2 linked regions of the Oryctolagus cuniculus genome follow. The protein of the gene in region 1 interacts with the protein of each later gene in a pairwise test. Links are inferred from orthologs where the notes say so. Each region holds a gene or a part of one and is shown on either strand. Other genes may lie near its edges.

Region 1 (7,752 bases):
GCAGAGGATATGGGCGCCGGGTTCTGTCCCAGTTGTTCCTCTTCCAGTCCAGCTCTCTGCCGTGGCCTGGAAGGGCAGTGGAGGATGGCCCAAGTCCTTGGGCCCTGCACCTGCATGGGAGACCAGGAGGATGCACCTGGCTCCTGGCTTCGGATCGGCACAGCGCCAGCCATGGTGGCCATTTGGGGGGTGAACCAACGGAAGGAAGACCTTTCTCTCTGTCTCTCTCTCTCACTGTCTATCTGTCAAATAATTTAAAATAAATAAATAAATAATTTATTTATCTATCTATTTATTTATTTGAAACAGTTACAGAGAGAGGGAGAGACACACAGAGAGAGTATTCTTCCATCCACTGGTTACTCCCCAAATGACAATGGCTTGGGCTGGGCCAGGAGCCAGGAGCCCGGAGCCCAAATACTTGGACCATCCTCTGCTGCTTTCCCAGGCCATTAGCAGAGAGCTGGATCAAAGTGAAGCAGCCAAACTCAAACTAGCGCCCATATAAGATGCCAACATCACAAGTGGTGGCTTTACCTGCTACACCACAGCGCTGGCCCTCGTATTTATTTATTAGAAAGTCAGAGTTACACAGAGAGAGAAGGATGGGCAGAGAGAGGTCTTCCATCCGCTGGTTCACTCCCCAATTGGCCGCAATGGCGGGAGCTGTACTGATCAAAGCCAGGAGCCAGGAGCTTCCTCCAGGTCTTCCCATGCGGGTGCAGGGCCCCAAGGACAGCGCCAGCCCTCTTGGTATTTATTTTTAAGATGAATGGTGATGCTTATGAAATCATTAGTGTAATATACATAACCCTTGATGCACTTTAAAGAACCATCGAAGAGTTTTATTTTAAAAAGTCAGCATTTACAAACCAGAAAAATGTATACATGGGAAGAACTGGAGGAAGAACTGTGGCTCACTTGGTTAATCCTCCACCTGTGGGGCCAGCATCCCATATGGGTGCCGGGTTCTAGTCCCAGTTGCCCCTCTTCCAGTCCAGCTCTCTGCTGTGGCCCCGGAGAGCAGTGGAGGATGGCCCAAGTGCTTAGGCCCTGCACCCGCATGGGAGACCGGGAGGAAGCACACTGCAACCTAGAAAAATGTACTCTGAACAGCTTTAAAATTTTGATCAAGAATTTTATGTAACAACTTTAAAAGTTGGAGATGTCTTTGATGGGTAACACATGTGAGTAAAGCTGTGCAGTCCAGAGTTGCAAGCGAGCAGAGGCGGGCAGCAGCGGCTTGCAGCGACCGCCGTCCCTAGGAACGCCAGCTCACCCATCCTGTGCTCTCGGGCGCCTTGTCTTGCTTACACTCAATTTACAGTCTCAGAAAGTTAGAGCAGGACCTGTCTTTTGGCCCTTCTCTCAGTGTTACTGGCTTTGTGACTTTGGCCAGGCTAAGCGTGATTAATGATGGCACAGCACACAAGTGTTGGGACACGGCGAAGTTCTGCATTAAGTGGACAGCTCAACAGTCGGCAGGGGCTGGGCCCGCAACACGAACAATAAGCTGAGCTGGACAGAAAATGCCCGGTCTTGAGAGGTTCCAGGGACACTGGGGCAGGGAGCGGTTCTGAATTACACAAGAATGACTAGATTCTTCACATTTTTGATTTGGAGGAGCCCTTTGGTATCTCCAATGACATGACACAGGATGAGGTTATCCTGCACGGTACTGATGGAGACACGTTTTGCCACTTTCCTAATTGTTTTTGGCTAAATCAGAGTTTGGCAACATAAAGGGGGAAAAGTTGCAGTGTTTCACTCTGGAAAGTGTAGTACTTCTGCGGCAGGGACATTATTTTTTATGATTTATTTTATTTGAAAGGCAGAGTTACAGAGAGAGAGAGAGAGAAAGGAGATCTTATATCTGCTGGTTCACTCCCCAAATGGCCTCTGGGCCTGGGCCAGGCCGAAGCCAGGAACCTGGAACTCCATCTGGATCTACCACATGGGTTCAGGGACCCAAATCCTTGGGCCACCTTCCACTTATTTCCCAGACACATTAGTAGAGATCGGAAGTGGAGCAGATGAGAGCAAGCTGGTGGCGATATGGGATGCCGCCATCGCAGGCGGTGATTTAGCTTGCTTATGCCACAATGCCTGCCTGCAGGGGTATTTTAATGTGTGGCAAAGAATGGAAACAGGCATAATCCACACCAGTGATCTGATGACAAAGACTAAGTTGAACCATTTCAAAATAAAAGAGCACTTTTTTTTTTTTGAACAGCCATGAACAAGAAAGACCCGATGCTTGGTGTGTTCCCTCTTGGAAGCACATGTTTTATTACTCATCCTTTATTACTCATGAAAAGCAAGCTGTAGTGCCTCCTGTGTACATCCTGATGGCCTGAAGACTGTGAGAGAGGAAAGCACCCGTGCTACATGCAAGCACTTGGACAGACACAGCAGTGGGGACAGTTTCTTACAAGGAAGACTTACTGTACATTCAATGTTCTTTTGCATGGTTGGATTTTTGTTTTTATTTTTGATCTGATTTATTTATTTGAAAGGCAGAGTTACAGAGAGAGGCAGAGAGATCTTAACATCTGCTGGTTCACTCCCCAAATGGCTGCTATAGCTGGGGCTGGGCCAGGCTGAAGCTAGGAGCCAGGAGCCAGGAGCTTCCTCCAGGTCTCCCACATGGGTGTAGGAGCTCAAGTACTTGGGCCATCTTCTGCTGCTTTCTCAGGCACATTAGCAGGCAGCTGGATCAAAAGTGGAGCAGCCAGGACTTGAACTGGCACCCATATGGGATGCTGGCACTGCATGTGGCGGCTTTATCTGCTACGCCACAGCACTAGCCACATTTTTTTTTTTAAATCATGTGGCTTTATTGACTTAAAAAAAATCCCCCAAACAAAATAGATCCCATGTAGGATAACATCTTAAAGCAAATATGCCATATATCCCACAACATTGCACTGTGTTGTCTTGTAATCGCCATCATCAAAAATATTCCTAGCAGGAGCACACCTCCTCTCCAAGCTCTGCGCCTGGTGGCTGCCCTCGGAGATCACCCCGTCCTCAGCAGAGCAATGGGAAAGGAGGAGCCGGCATCCGCCCCAGGCCTGACACAAGTGCTGGCCACTGTCTCCCCACCAGTTTTCCTGAGGCCTCTGCAGAGGGTGATGCTCACATTTGGCTCCTTCCCCACCTCCGCTCCTGTCCTACCTGACCGTTTGAAATCTTTCAGGGACCAGCCAGGAAGCCATGCTCACGATTTTTTTTTTTTTTTAAAGATGTATTTATTTGAAAGACAGAGCTACAGGAGATGCACACACACACACACACACACAGAGAGAGAGAGAGAGAGAGAGAGAGAGAGAGAGAGAGAATCTTTCATCAGGTTCACTCCTCAAATGGCTGCGATGTCCAGGGCTGGGCCAGGCTGAAGCCAGGAGCCCCAAACGCCATCCTGGTCTCCTACATGGACAGCAGGGGTCCATCGTGTGCTGCCTTTCCAGGAAGCTGGATCGGAAGTGGTGCTCAGATAGATAAGGAATGCCAGTTCCCAGCTTAACTGGCTGTTCCACTCCAACACCAGCTTCCCCCCATGTTCATTTTTGTTCACAATTTTTGCCAGTTCAAGTGGCAGTTACCACTTACCATTTCTTTAAATTGACCAATTTTCAAAGTCCAAATGGTATATATTACTATATAAAGTTATCAAGGAGACAGGCAGTGAGGGATGGTAACTAAGAGCGTGGCTCCAGGAGTATCCTGATTTGGTGGAAGTATCCCCCTTTATAAAAGGGGTTACTAATGTCACCTGTCACTGGCCTGCTCAATTGTCAAGACCCTTCTCAAAACCGCAAATACTGTATTTCTGATCTGCGGTTGGTCGGTTACACCTGTGGCTGCAAAGCCCACCGACACAGAGAAGTTGATGTATGCACTTTGAGTTTGGGAATTGAAATTGAATCAATTAAGGGATTCCACTTTGGAATGTTAACTAATTTTTCATGCGAATGTCACCCGCGGCTCGTGGCTCCTGTGTGGGGCGGCACAGCCCAAACATCTGGTTTGGAGGGCTTGTTAGGGTCCTAACGGTTGGATGTTTCCAGTCTTCTCACGCCGACACTGCTCCAGACTACAAGCGCTGAAAAGCCCTCTGCGGAGATGCCCGCGTGACCGGGGCCGTGGCGGGAGGAGTGGCGGCTCGTCCCACGCGCTTCAGCGGCGGGCCCAAGCCTGCGGACTCCACGGCGAGCCCGGGGTGCGCGGGGGACACGCGGGCACCGGCGGGAAACACCACGGGTCTTGCTCCCCCAAACATTTAAACACCCGATACAGATTCCTAAAGCCTAGACGCCAACCCGGGAGCTTTCCGGGGCCGTTCCCGGGGAGCGCCACGAAACGCCGGGTGCGAGAGCCCGGCCCCAGCCCGCCGCGCAGCCCCGCGCGCTCTCCCGCGGGCCCCCCTACCTGCGCGCGCCGCCCCGTCCGCGCCGCCGTCCGTACCGCCCAGCCCCGCGGCCGCGCGCAGCGCGTTCCCGCAGCTCGCCGACAGGTTCCCGGTGGCCCGTCGCGCCAGGGTCAGAATGGGCGCCGACCAGCCCTCGGCCGCCTTGGCCGCGCTCCGCAGCGCGCCCGGGCTCGGCAACTGGCCGCGGTCCACGATCTCGAAGTCTTCTCCCGGCTCAGACCCCGGCCCGGACTCCGACTCCGGCTCCGGCTCCCGCCCCGCTGGGGAGCCGTCTTCCCGGTCGGCCATCTTGGCGGTGTCAAGTGGCCCGTGGGCGGGGCGTGGGTGCGGCGCGGGCGGGCGCGGCCTGGCGGGGGCGGTGCGGGCGGGCGTGCCTGTATCTTGGCAGGATTTTTTTTGCAGTGCTTGCAAGGTGCTTCTCCCTCCTCGCCGCCGTCTTCACCTTTCTTTCACTCTGAAACCATTCAGGGCCAGGACAGATTGTAAAATAAGAAACATCCTTGGCAGCTGGGGCTCCTGTTTGCATGGAAAGTTCTTCTTGAACTTCCTCTCTCCCGGGACCCTTGCACTCCCAGCCTGGCCCGTATTGGGGCCCCGGACTTCACTTTCTCTGTGATGCTGTTTCCCGTTTTTAATTTTCATTTCCTATTTTGCGTTTTTTTTTTTTTTTAAATTTCTTGACAGGCAGAGTGGACAGTGAGAGAGAGAGAGAGAGACAGAGAGAAAGGTCTTCCTTTGCCGTTGGTTCACCCTCCAATGGCCGCCGCGGCTGGCGCGCTGCACAGGGCTGATCCGAAAATTGCAGGAGCCAGGTACTTATCCTGGTCTCCCATGGGGTGCAGGGCCCAAGGACTTGGGCCATCCTCCACTGCACTCCCTGGCCACAGCAGAGAGCTGGCCTGGAAGAGGGGCAACCGGGACAGAATCCGGCGCCCCGATTGGGACTAGAACCCCGTGTGCCGGCGCCACAAGGCGGAGAATTAGCCTAGTGAGCCGCATCGCCGGCCCTATTTTGCGTTTTCTACCTTGTCATCTTTCCGCAGCAGTCTTCAGAAAGAGCCATCATTGCATGGGCGAATTAGCAAACTGGAACAGAGGTGCCAGGAGAGTTTTTTTGTTTTTTGTTTTTTCCTTTTAAATTAAGGGAAAATATGCTACTGCGGGTCCGTGAAGGGTGCACTGGAAATCAGATCTGGTCCTGCTCTTATGACGACAGCGCTGCGCCCATCATTAAGGAACGCTGGGCAGATGTTAAGGACATCTTCAGCCTGTTTCCTCCCTTGGGAAAGAAAGAAATTTGGCTTAAACCAGAAAACTTTCATTTTGGAACCCTCATGAGGGTGGGGACATCTTTACAGCTTGTTGCGGACGTGCAGGAACCAGAAGTTTCACATAAAACTTTGGAGTTGCGTCTTCTCTGAGTCGTGGGGAGATTAAGCAACCTGGCATATGCCCTATTGGCAGCAACTGTTGGATTCAGCCATGGCTGCTGCGTAGGATAAACGGGCTCAGTGACACCTGGGAAAGCGTGGGGAGGCCGATTGTGGCAGGGCCATGCTGATGCGTGGAGCGGCAGCAGCAATGGGGTTTGCAGCTGGGAAACAGGTTGAGCTCAGTTCAGAGCTCAGCACAGGCACAGGCACAGGGAGACGGGATGCCAAGGAGCAGGGTGCGGTCCGTGGGTGCAAAATGAGCAAAGAGGACCAGCAAGAGTGAAGGGGACTCTGAGGAGACTCAACAGGCTTCGTGCTGAATTTGGGCCAGGGTGATCAGAACCAGAGCAGGGGAGGGAGGAGGCAGAGGATGAGGAACCTAAGTGGATGGTGAGTGTTATGGGTGGTTCTTGTTAACGTGGCTTAGCGGGGCTCCTCCGTAAAACCGGTTTTTATGAAGAAGAGTACTGATAGGCCAAGGAGGAAGTTCAGAAGCCTGACTCAGGGATGGTCGAGAAAAGAATCTTGGTTATTGCTGTTTTAGCAGTGGAGGTGCTCTGGTCCAGCCATTTCACTGGTTTTCATGACCTGTGCGGTCCCTGAAGGCCGGTTCTCTGTGGGGTGCTGCTGCAGCCAGGGGAGCTGGTGAGATGGTGTTTGATCGTCCCGGTGGGCTGCCGCTTCTGGTCTTTACCAGGTGGAGGGGGCAAAGGTGTCCTGGGATAAGAATAGTCCCACACCCCTCATCCCTTCCCAGTGCTGCCAGGTGTTTATTTTTATTTATTTTTAAAAAAGATTTATTTGTAAGACAGAGCCACAGAGAGAGGTAGAGACAGAGAGAGACCGAGAGGTCTTCCATCCTCTGGTTCACTCCTCAAATAACAGGGACGGCTGGAGCTAAGCCAATCTGAAACCAGGAGCCAGGAGCTTCTTCTGGGTCTCCCACATGGGTGCAGGGCTCCAAACACTTGGGCTGTTCTGTGCTGTTTTCCCAGGTGCATTAGCAGGGAGCTGAATCAAAAGTGGAGCAGCCAGGACTTGAACCAGCAGCTGTAAAAGATACTGGCACTGCAGGCCTGTGCTTTAACCAACTGTACCACAGCACTTGCCCTGCAGGTGTTTATATTGCTGCAAAGCTTATTTATAATGATCAGGGCCTGGAACTGAATTCTATTTTGTGTAGAAACAAATTTTTTTTTGAGGAATAGCTTTAATATTGCATCAGGCCTTGTCCCTCAAATCTCAGTGGCTTTAACATAAAAGCTTATATCTTGTGCATTGCAAATCAGCAAAGAGGCAGGGACTGCTCTGCTCATGCCTGGGAGTCTCCTGGGCCCTAGGCTTCAGGGGCCTGCATTACTCTGAGTAGAGTTTTGCATCCACAATTCACTTATGCACAGTTCATTGACAAAGCAGTGTCCTGGCCATGTCTAACTTCTTGGGAAGTGAGAAGTTCAGTCCTACTAGTGTCTGGGAAAAAGAGAATGAGAAATACTGATGAGCAGAATAACCACTATCATCAATTGTGGGGAGCAACTCGGACTAGACTAAGTTACTGGAATTAAGACTTAATTCTATGCATCTGCTCTCCCACAATATGGCGCTGGGAGAGGAGTAAACAGCTTCTACGCAGCTGCCTCTCGCCAACTTGAGTGATGACCTGCAGGAGCTGATCCTGCTCCTGATTGGAGGAGAGCAGCGTACTCGGCGTGTGGGTAGCAGAGTTGGGATTGGTGGAAGAGGACTATAAAGGAGGAGAGAGACAACATGCACCAGGAACATCTCAGAGGAACACCTGTGCAGCCCCCGAGAGAGCCGGCTGGCGGTGTGCCGCTCCCCCGCGGAAGTGGAGAAAGTGGCAGGGGGAACCGCCCTTCCACGGAGGTG
Region 2 (7,973 bases), on another chromosome or scaffold:
AGAATTTTTAAACCTGCCTAAAAAAATGCCAGGAATGGGAAAAATATACATATAATGTATTTTAGTCAAGACAACTGAAGAGTTTTGTTTCTATCCCTTTATGAACAGGTAAGAATCAAGTCTTTTCCTTTCTTCACCCAACTAAACATATTTTATTTGCCTTCTACAACTATGAAGCAGGAAATTTAATTACACCAACCAAGCCATATCATGTGAAACGAATATAGAGCAGACAATCGGTTCACTTGTAGTAGATGCTGTAAATTTATCCAAGGTGGTTTGCTCATCCAGCTTGGGGCAGGTAGTAGAATGATCTTCCATAATTTTCATTATTTTGCTTCTTTTTTCTGGCTGAAGCAAATTCCCCAACTTTCAGATTCAGTCACATCCATACTGAAGTTCAATACTATATCTCAAAGCAGTTTGCCATTCTTATGCTTTCCTGTCACAATGGATATGATAAACCTGACTCTAATCAGAATAGTCTTCTCACTGTGAAAAGTATGGCTTGTGCCTGACTGAACTGACTACAATCCAAAAACTAATTTAAAGCATCACCTTTCTTCAAGAAGATAATGGAGGCTTCAAGTCAGTCATTCCAATTTGCTGATGCTGTTAGCTCACTGTTCAGCTGAGAATTAAATAGCTGACTCTCTAGGGTAGACACAAGGCAGTGTAGGCATAGGGCAGACAGGTAGCCCAGGTCATTGTGGGGTGAGTATTTTTGTACCCATCCCACTCCCCATTGCTGTATGTGGTTATTTTCAATAAAATGTTCATTGTGTCTCAATGATAAGAACACTTAACAGCCCACAGTTCTGATGTGTTTTCAGTTGTGGGGTTACTCACTTGTTTATCACTGTATCTTATCAGTAATACCTGAATGGGCTTTACCTTTGACTAATTCTCATGTTCCATCAGGAATATAGCTGAGTTTTAATCAAAAGGGAAACATATCCTAACATGTACAGGACATTTATTTACAGTCATATCTCTTCCAGAGTAAACACATTAATAATTGTTTATTCATCTGACAGAGGATGATGCAGTGAAAAGAACTACGAGTCAGGAGTCTTTGACCTTGGCCAAGTAAGTCTCCTGCCTGTTAGTTCACTACTCAGTGCAATGGTGACAAAAACTTCTCAGGCCTGTTAGGATGATCAAATAAGTAGCATAAGGAACTGTCATGTGCTTGTAAGGGTGATAATGCTCACTATTGAGCAGGTACTCAGCACAAGACTGTTGAGCAAGGATTTGCCTTTGGGCTATTTTCAGAGGCCATCCCTATGTTGTCCCTGTCAGGTGTTTAAAGAAGCAGCAGGCTATTTACTTCAATATTGCAGTTGCCAGTGCCATGAAACTGTAGGCACAGATGGGGGGGGGGGGGAGTATGGCTACCCATATGGTAATTTGCACAGGACAATTTCTTTTACATAGCTGAGAATTCTACCATTAGAGTATACATTTTCTCAAATGGCCTCCTTTTCATATCCACATGTAAGTATCTTAGCAAATGGCTGGTTCATATCCCTTATTTTACAGAAACTAACTTGTACCTTGTAACCAAACCCAGCACACACAGTTGGTATAGAATATTTTCTCTGAATAAGTTGATCTCACAGTCTTTTAGTTATGTTACTTGTTATCCATGTGATACTTTTTTCCCTTTACATGTTTCTTTATGTTCATGACCCATGAGTTAGTGGAAATACCAAGGAACAATAGGTGTCTTGTCTGTAGGATTGTTTTCCTGGGATCTAGCTTTTCAAACCCCAGGCCTTTAATATGTGGCTCACCAAGGGCACACAGAGCAGCCATTGCTCAGCGTGGGCCACAAAACAGTGTCTGGCCCTGTCCAGCCCATATGCACAGTGCAGTCCCTCAGTCCCAGCACCAGGCTCCCCCATCCACCCAGGGAAGGCGTCTCACTTGGTATCCAAATGGAGGTTCAGTTCTCTTCAGTCACAGAAAGGTTCTATTCATTTTGGTGGTTTTTGTAAGTTCAGGTGCGAGAGCATGTTTGGGAAAGAAAAGGGCCAACTAGCACAAACACCTCCTCTCTGATTTAACAACCTCTTCTGAAGAGTGAACCACATTTGGCACAAATCCACTCTTCACCCCTTCCCAGCCCTCCTGGATTGTAATCTCCCCCCTTTTAACCAGCTCATATATGTCTCTCGTCAGGTCTGTGAAGGCTTTCTCCACATTAATGGCATCTCGGGCTGACGTTTCAATGTACTTCATGCCGTATGCAGCAGCCAGTTTCTCGGCCTCGTGGCGAGTCACTTGCCTCTGAGTATCCAGGTCACACTTGTGACCCACCAGAACAAACACAATTTGGTAGGGCTGAACGTGTACTTTGGTCTCTTCTAACCACTCATGGACATTCTGGAAGGACCTGCGGTTGGTAATGTCAAATAAGAGAAGACCGCCTACTGAGTTCCTGTAGTAGGCTCGAGTGATGGATCTAAAACACAAGAAAGAAGTAAAGAATAAGGCCATGTGCAAATTCCTGCACGTCAATGAACTCAGAAGATTTTAGTGTTCCTGGTGATTACTCTCATAGCCATTTAATAAAAGCGATTTTATGTTTAAAGAAACAAGAGAATACAAATGCTTTTCTATAATAATTATGAAATACAACTTTTCAATTGGAAAAAAATTTGAGATAGCATCTTGTACAAATGAATGCTCATAGTGTTTCAGGCCTTTTCCCTCAGTTAAGCACTGGAAATGCTGGGAAATGATTGACTTTTATTTCCTGCCTTCAGACAAAACCACAACTAACTCCCACCACCAAATATGAACAACTGGTAGAGACTTCCTCTTCTGCAAAATGAGTCAGAGGGTTATCATGAGGCAAAATGAAGTAACAGATGTTAAAGTATCCTGTGACCTAGAGGGTTAGTTCATCAGAAATGCTAGTAATTGAAATGGGAGTCGTCAAAAATAAAAATGTACTTATGATAGTTAATAGAAATTCATTATAAGTATCTTACACTGCACCGTGCTTTTTCTGTTGATTGTTACTATGTTTTACTCTTTCCATTGTGCCTATTATTACCTACCAAGGATCCTCAATCTCTTCTGTGAGGAGAAAGACAATTTGTTTTCTTTTCCAGGCCATGTGGGAACAGTTAAAAAAAAAAAAAAAAGAAGTGGTGAAAGGGTTAGGGGACACATTTATGAGAGTCAAGCTCAGGATCTACCAACTAGGAAAATCCACCTGAATAGTCAAAGCTTCCCCCTAAAATAATATGATTGATTTAAGCCAGGGCACTTGGAATATTTGTAAAATTTGTTGTATATTTGCCATACTTCTTAGAAGAAATCTCACTGATTTTAACTTCTTGATTGGAGGAGCTTCATTATCAATATACATTATGGTACTTTGCTTGGAATATATTAGAGCCTATTAGAGGGGTTAGAACTTGCTTTAGTCTACTGTGACTTTTACATATACCTGTTTTTAGGTTTTCTGTCTCCTTGAATGAAAAATGTGAACAATGAAGGACTCAATAGCTTAAAGCTTAGGTGAAATGAACCAATGTTAACAGAACAAATATTGTCCAGGAAATTACAGTCCATGCTAGATGATGGTAAGCCCAAACAAGTTCATCTCCAGGATCAGGCAGGTCAACCTCAGGGAAGTAAAAACATTTCTAATTGCCTTGACTTCTGAGGATTCATGGTTAATGGTGGTGAGCCAGAAAATTAGACATGAAGGAAGGTTTTGATTTGTGAATGCTTGACTCAAGAAATCAATAAGCTGTAAGTCCCCAAAAGTGTGCTACAATGTATTATTACATTAATGGCTTCTGAGTATTTAGCAAAGTGACAAAACCCTTTCCTTTCCAAGCATAACACAAGGCTACATAAAACTTAAAATCTTCCCTACATAAAAATATCTTAGAGTGAAAACACAAAGGACAAACTGGAAAAAATATCTTACATGACAGGAAAGGGTTAATATTGTTACTCTGTAAATAATGGTTGCAAATAAATGGTAAATATTGGATATGACTAGAATGTTAATACAGAAATTCCAACATATAAAAGATATTTTTCTTCACCCATGAGAAATGCAATCACAGGTTGAAAGTGAACCTGTGCAAGAATATTTGCCACAGTGCGGTTTGTGGAAGCTGGGAGTTGGAGACAACTTAAGTTTATTATTTCCTATTCTCCCAGTATTTTTTAAATTACTTAACCAGTATCTTGCATGCTCAATGAGTGTTCAATAGATACATGAATAAATGATCATAAACATAGGCTGTTGAGTTCTCAATCTGATTCTTGCTGCTCTGAGTTTAGTTCAAATTGTTCTCTATAAAGTTTTCCGTGTACACATTGATCTTTTCCAGTTAGTTTTCCCTCCTCTGTGTTCATGTATGTAAGTACAAATAATAAATGCTATAAAGGAAAAGCAAAGGATTGTAAGAGAACATTAAACATGTTCACTGATTACTCATCATGTGGCAGGTGTTAAAGTAGGGAGAGGAGCCACAAATACAAACAAGACATTCTTTTGTGTAATTCATGATTATTTCCCCCTAATAGGTCAGCACAGAACTTCTAGGAGGGAAGGGGTTGTGTGTTATTTTTAATAGATGGCATCCCTCATGTGGTTTCTCTAGAAACAAGTCCAGTGCCTGCCACATAGTAGGTGATCACTGATCACTGAATGTCTGCTGTTTGTAAAAAGGAATCAATCGATTTTGTTAAGACACATCTAGGTGTGTGTGTATGTGTGTGTATGTGTGTGTGTATCTCATGTATATACACAGAGAGATATAGAAACAAAATCTATGTGTCTTTGTCAGTTACATTAGGATGGCCTCTGGGAACAGTTTTGAAAGGATGTAACATAGGGACTGAGGTTGAATTACAGGAATCAATTCCAGATAGGAGAGGGTCCTGGTTATTAACTGGCCTTCTCTGCTATCGCGTTTCTTTCCCTACATTGCAGTCACAGAAGACCACCCCCCACCCCAACCCTTAGTTTGCCCTTTGAACAGCAACTAGGACCAGGAAGTCCTCGCTCCCCAGGGTCTGTGCAAGCCCTGAAGACCCTCCCATTGGTCATGGGCCCGGGCTGCGCTCCCACCTGAACCTCTCTTGACCCGCCGTATCCCAGATCTGGAGCTTGATGCGTTTTCCTGGCTCGATCTCCACCAAACGGGAGAAAAAATCCACTCCTACGGTGGGATCCGAAACCTGGGCAAAGCGACCCTCGGTGAAACGCCGAATCAAGCAGGACTTGCCCACCGTGGAATCCCCGATGACAATGAGCCGGAACTGGTACAGCCAGATGGCCTCCATGGCAGCGGCTTGGCAGGTCTCCTTGGCCCAGGCTGGGGGCGGCAGGAGGGGGCCCCCCGCCTAAGCCTCGGAGAGCTCGGCTTGGCCCCAATCTAGCTGGACCATGAGCTCATCGCTGGCCTGCTAGCCCAAAGCGAGGTAGGCCCAGGCGCGAGGAGAGCAGAGGGATAGATGCTGCGCTTGCAAAGGTGATGAAATGGCAGCAGCATCAGCACCACGCACTCTGACTCATCACTGACAACCGAGCTACTGTAATCCCTCGTGTAGACGCGACTCCCAGGGCTGCCGCCGCACTTTCTCTAAGAAGAGCGCACTCGCAAACGACCTTGAGAACAGCACATTCCCTTTTCCTTCTTTTTTTTTTTTTAATTTTCTTTTCCTTTCTTCTCCTCTTTTTTCTTTTCTCTTCTCTTCCCTTCCTTTACTCCCCTCCCCTTCCCCCACCCTTCCCCTCCCCTCCTGTCTTCTCTCTCCTCTCCTCTCCTCTCTCTTCTCTCTTCCCCTCCCCTCCCCTCCCCTCTCTTTTCTCTTTTTCTTTTTTGTCTTTTCTTTTTAAAAGAAATTATTTGAAAACCAGAATTATACAGAGAGGGAGGGACAGACAGAGATCTTCTATCAATAAATTCACTCCCCAAGTGGCTGCAACAGCAGGAACTAGTCCAGGCTGAAGCCAGGAGCCAGGAGCTTCATCCTAGTTTCCCACGTGGCTGGCAGTGACCCAACTACTTGCACATCTTTTGATACCTTCCCAGGCCATTAGCAGGGGTGTGAATCAGTAGAAGTCAGGACTCAGAAACTAACACTCATTTATGGTCTCGCCTTTCATTTTTTATTGCCTCTTTGTAATTTAAAATTTCCTCTATCATTTAAATTGCAAATGTAATATCTTTCCATTGAAACTAGTGAAGTAATGCAAAATGTATGCAAAAATAGGACGTTTATAATTATATATTCATCTACATGTGTTTCCACATTTACATAAATATACAAACATACGTGAGTGTCCATATACATTTATTATTTTGTTTTCACTAAGATTCAAGATTGAATCAAAGTGGATCATTACTTTCAAACTTGCTTTTTGCAGTTAATTAAGCATCATAAACCTCTCCATTTCCAACTCATATTCTTTTTGCCTTAAAATTTTAAGGAAGAAAGGAATGAATATGCAGGAAAGCATGCAAGTATCATTATATTCTGAGAATTGTTCCTAGGAACTACATTGAATCTGTTGTTTGTATTAATATCATATTAAAATGAGAATTGGTGTAATTATCATGCATTTACTATGACCCTGAGAATCTAATATATTAATAAATTCCTTTGATTAAAAAATTAAAACAGATTTTATGTACAGTCACACTAACTTTATTTCTATGAACCAGACTCTTAAAGTGGGGCCAAGGACAGGGGTGTTATACATTCCAAAGATATTTACCAATTTATATTGCAGCCAGTAAAGTGTGGAAAGACAATTTCTTCTTCATATCCTTTGTATTTTTGTATATACTTTTTATTGTTACATTACACAATTTTATTGTTATATAAATTCACACATCATACAATTTCTCTATTCAGGGAACAATTAAATGATTTTTAGCATAGTCACAATATGTGTAATTGTTACCACAGTTAATTTTAGATAATTTTTAAAATATTTATATATTTATTTAAAAGGCAGAGTTACAGAAAGAGAAGGAGAGACAGACAGAGAGACAGAGAGAGAGAGAAAAGAGAGAGAAATCTTTTCAGTGGTTAACTCTCTGAATGCAAATGGCTACAATGGGTGGGTGCAGGGGCCCCGGTCATCTTCCACAGTTTTCCCAGACTGCTAACAGAGAGCTGGACTGAAGGTGGAGTGGCCAGGACTTGAACTGGTGCCCATGTGGGATGCTGGCATCGCAGGCAGCCACTAACCTGCTACATTGCAATCCTGGCTCCAGGAGATTTTTTTTTTTTATCACTTTGAAAAGAAAGTGCAAACATTTTATCCATTGTAGTCCCTGGCCACCACTAACCTACTTTCTGGCTCAATATATTTCCCTATTCTGGACATTTAGTATAAATGAAATCATACAAAATGTGAATTTTTGTAACTGGCTTAATCACTTAGCATTTTCAAGGTCTATCCATATTGTAACATGAGCCAGTAACATTGGCACTCTATGTCCATGGGATTCAAAAATATTTGGGAAAAAGGTTATCTGTACTGAACACACACTGAAGTTTTTCCTTGTTATAGTCCCTAAACAATACAGCATAAGTTATTGACATAGTGTTTACATTGTGTTAGGTATTATAAGGAATCTACAGATGATTTAAAATATTTGGGAGGATATGCCTAGGCTCTCCTGCTCATCGACAACAAGAAATCCATTAGCTGGCTGTGAGACTAGGGCTTCAGACACCATCTGGTGTGATTTGGTTTTTCTTTTTCCTCTCTCCAAGCTGCTAGTAGTGTCCCACTGCAATCCCGTTGCTCTCTTACTGCTGCCAGGGCTCTTCCTTAGGCACTCACATGTAGACATAGTTGCCCTGCAGGAGGAGGTAAATACTGGACTTCACTATATGACTATCTTGAATCCACTCTCAGTTTCTAGTATTTTGTTTAGGATTTTTCACACCTACATTCAAAATATTTATTGGTGGGG

Evidence for each region.
Region 2: the proteins of RUFY1 (region 1) and RAB39B interact in binary tests that used the Homo sapiens proteins (3 or more experiments, as listed by UniProt). The two-hybrid records come from large-scale screens. The link is inferred for Oryctolagus cuniculus from reciprocal best matches to the Homo sapiens genes RUFY1 and RAB39B.

What each region holds. Positions count from the first base shown.
Region 1 is NC_091437.1:67,936,627-67,944,378, forward strand, and holds the start of RUFY1 (RUN and FYVE domain-containing protein 1), read right to left. Parts: upstream 4,742-7,752; 5' UTR 4,721-4,741; coding exon 4,432-4,720; intron 1-4,431. UniProt on the Homo sapiens protein: Activating adapter involved in cargo sorting from early/recycling endosomes. Regulates retrieval of proteins from endosomes to the trans-Golgi network through interaction with the dynein-dynactin complex.
Region 2 is NC_091453.1:133,766,526-133,774,498, forward strand, and holds RAB39B (ras-related protein Rab-39B), read right to left. Parts: upstream 5,323-7,973; coding exon 5,108-5,322; intron 2,965-5,107; exon of another isoform or gene 2,468-2,964; coding exon 2,041-2,467; downstream 1-2,040. UniProt on the Homo sapiens protein: The small GTPases Rab are key regulators of intracellular membrane trafficking, from the formation of transport vesicles to their fusion with membranes.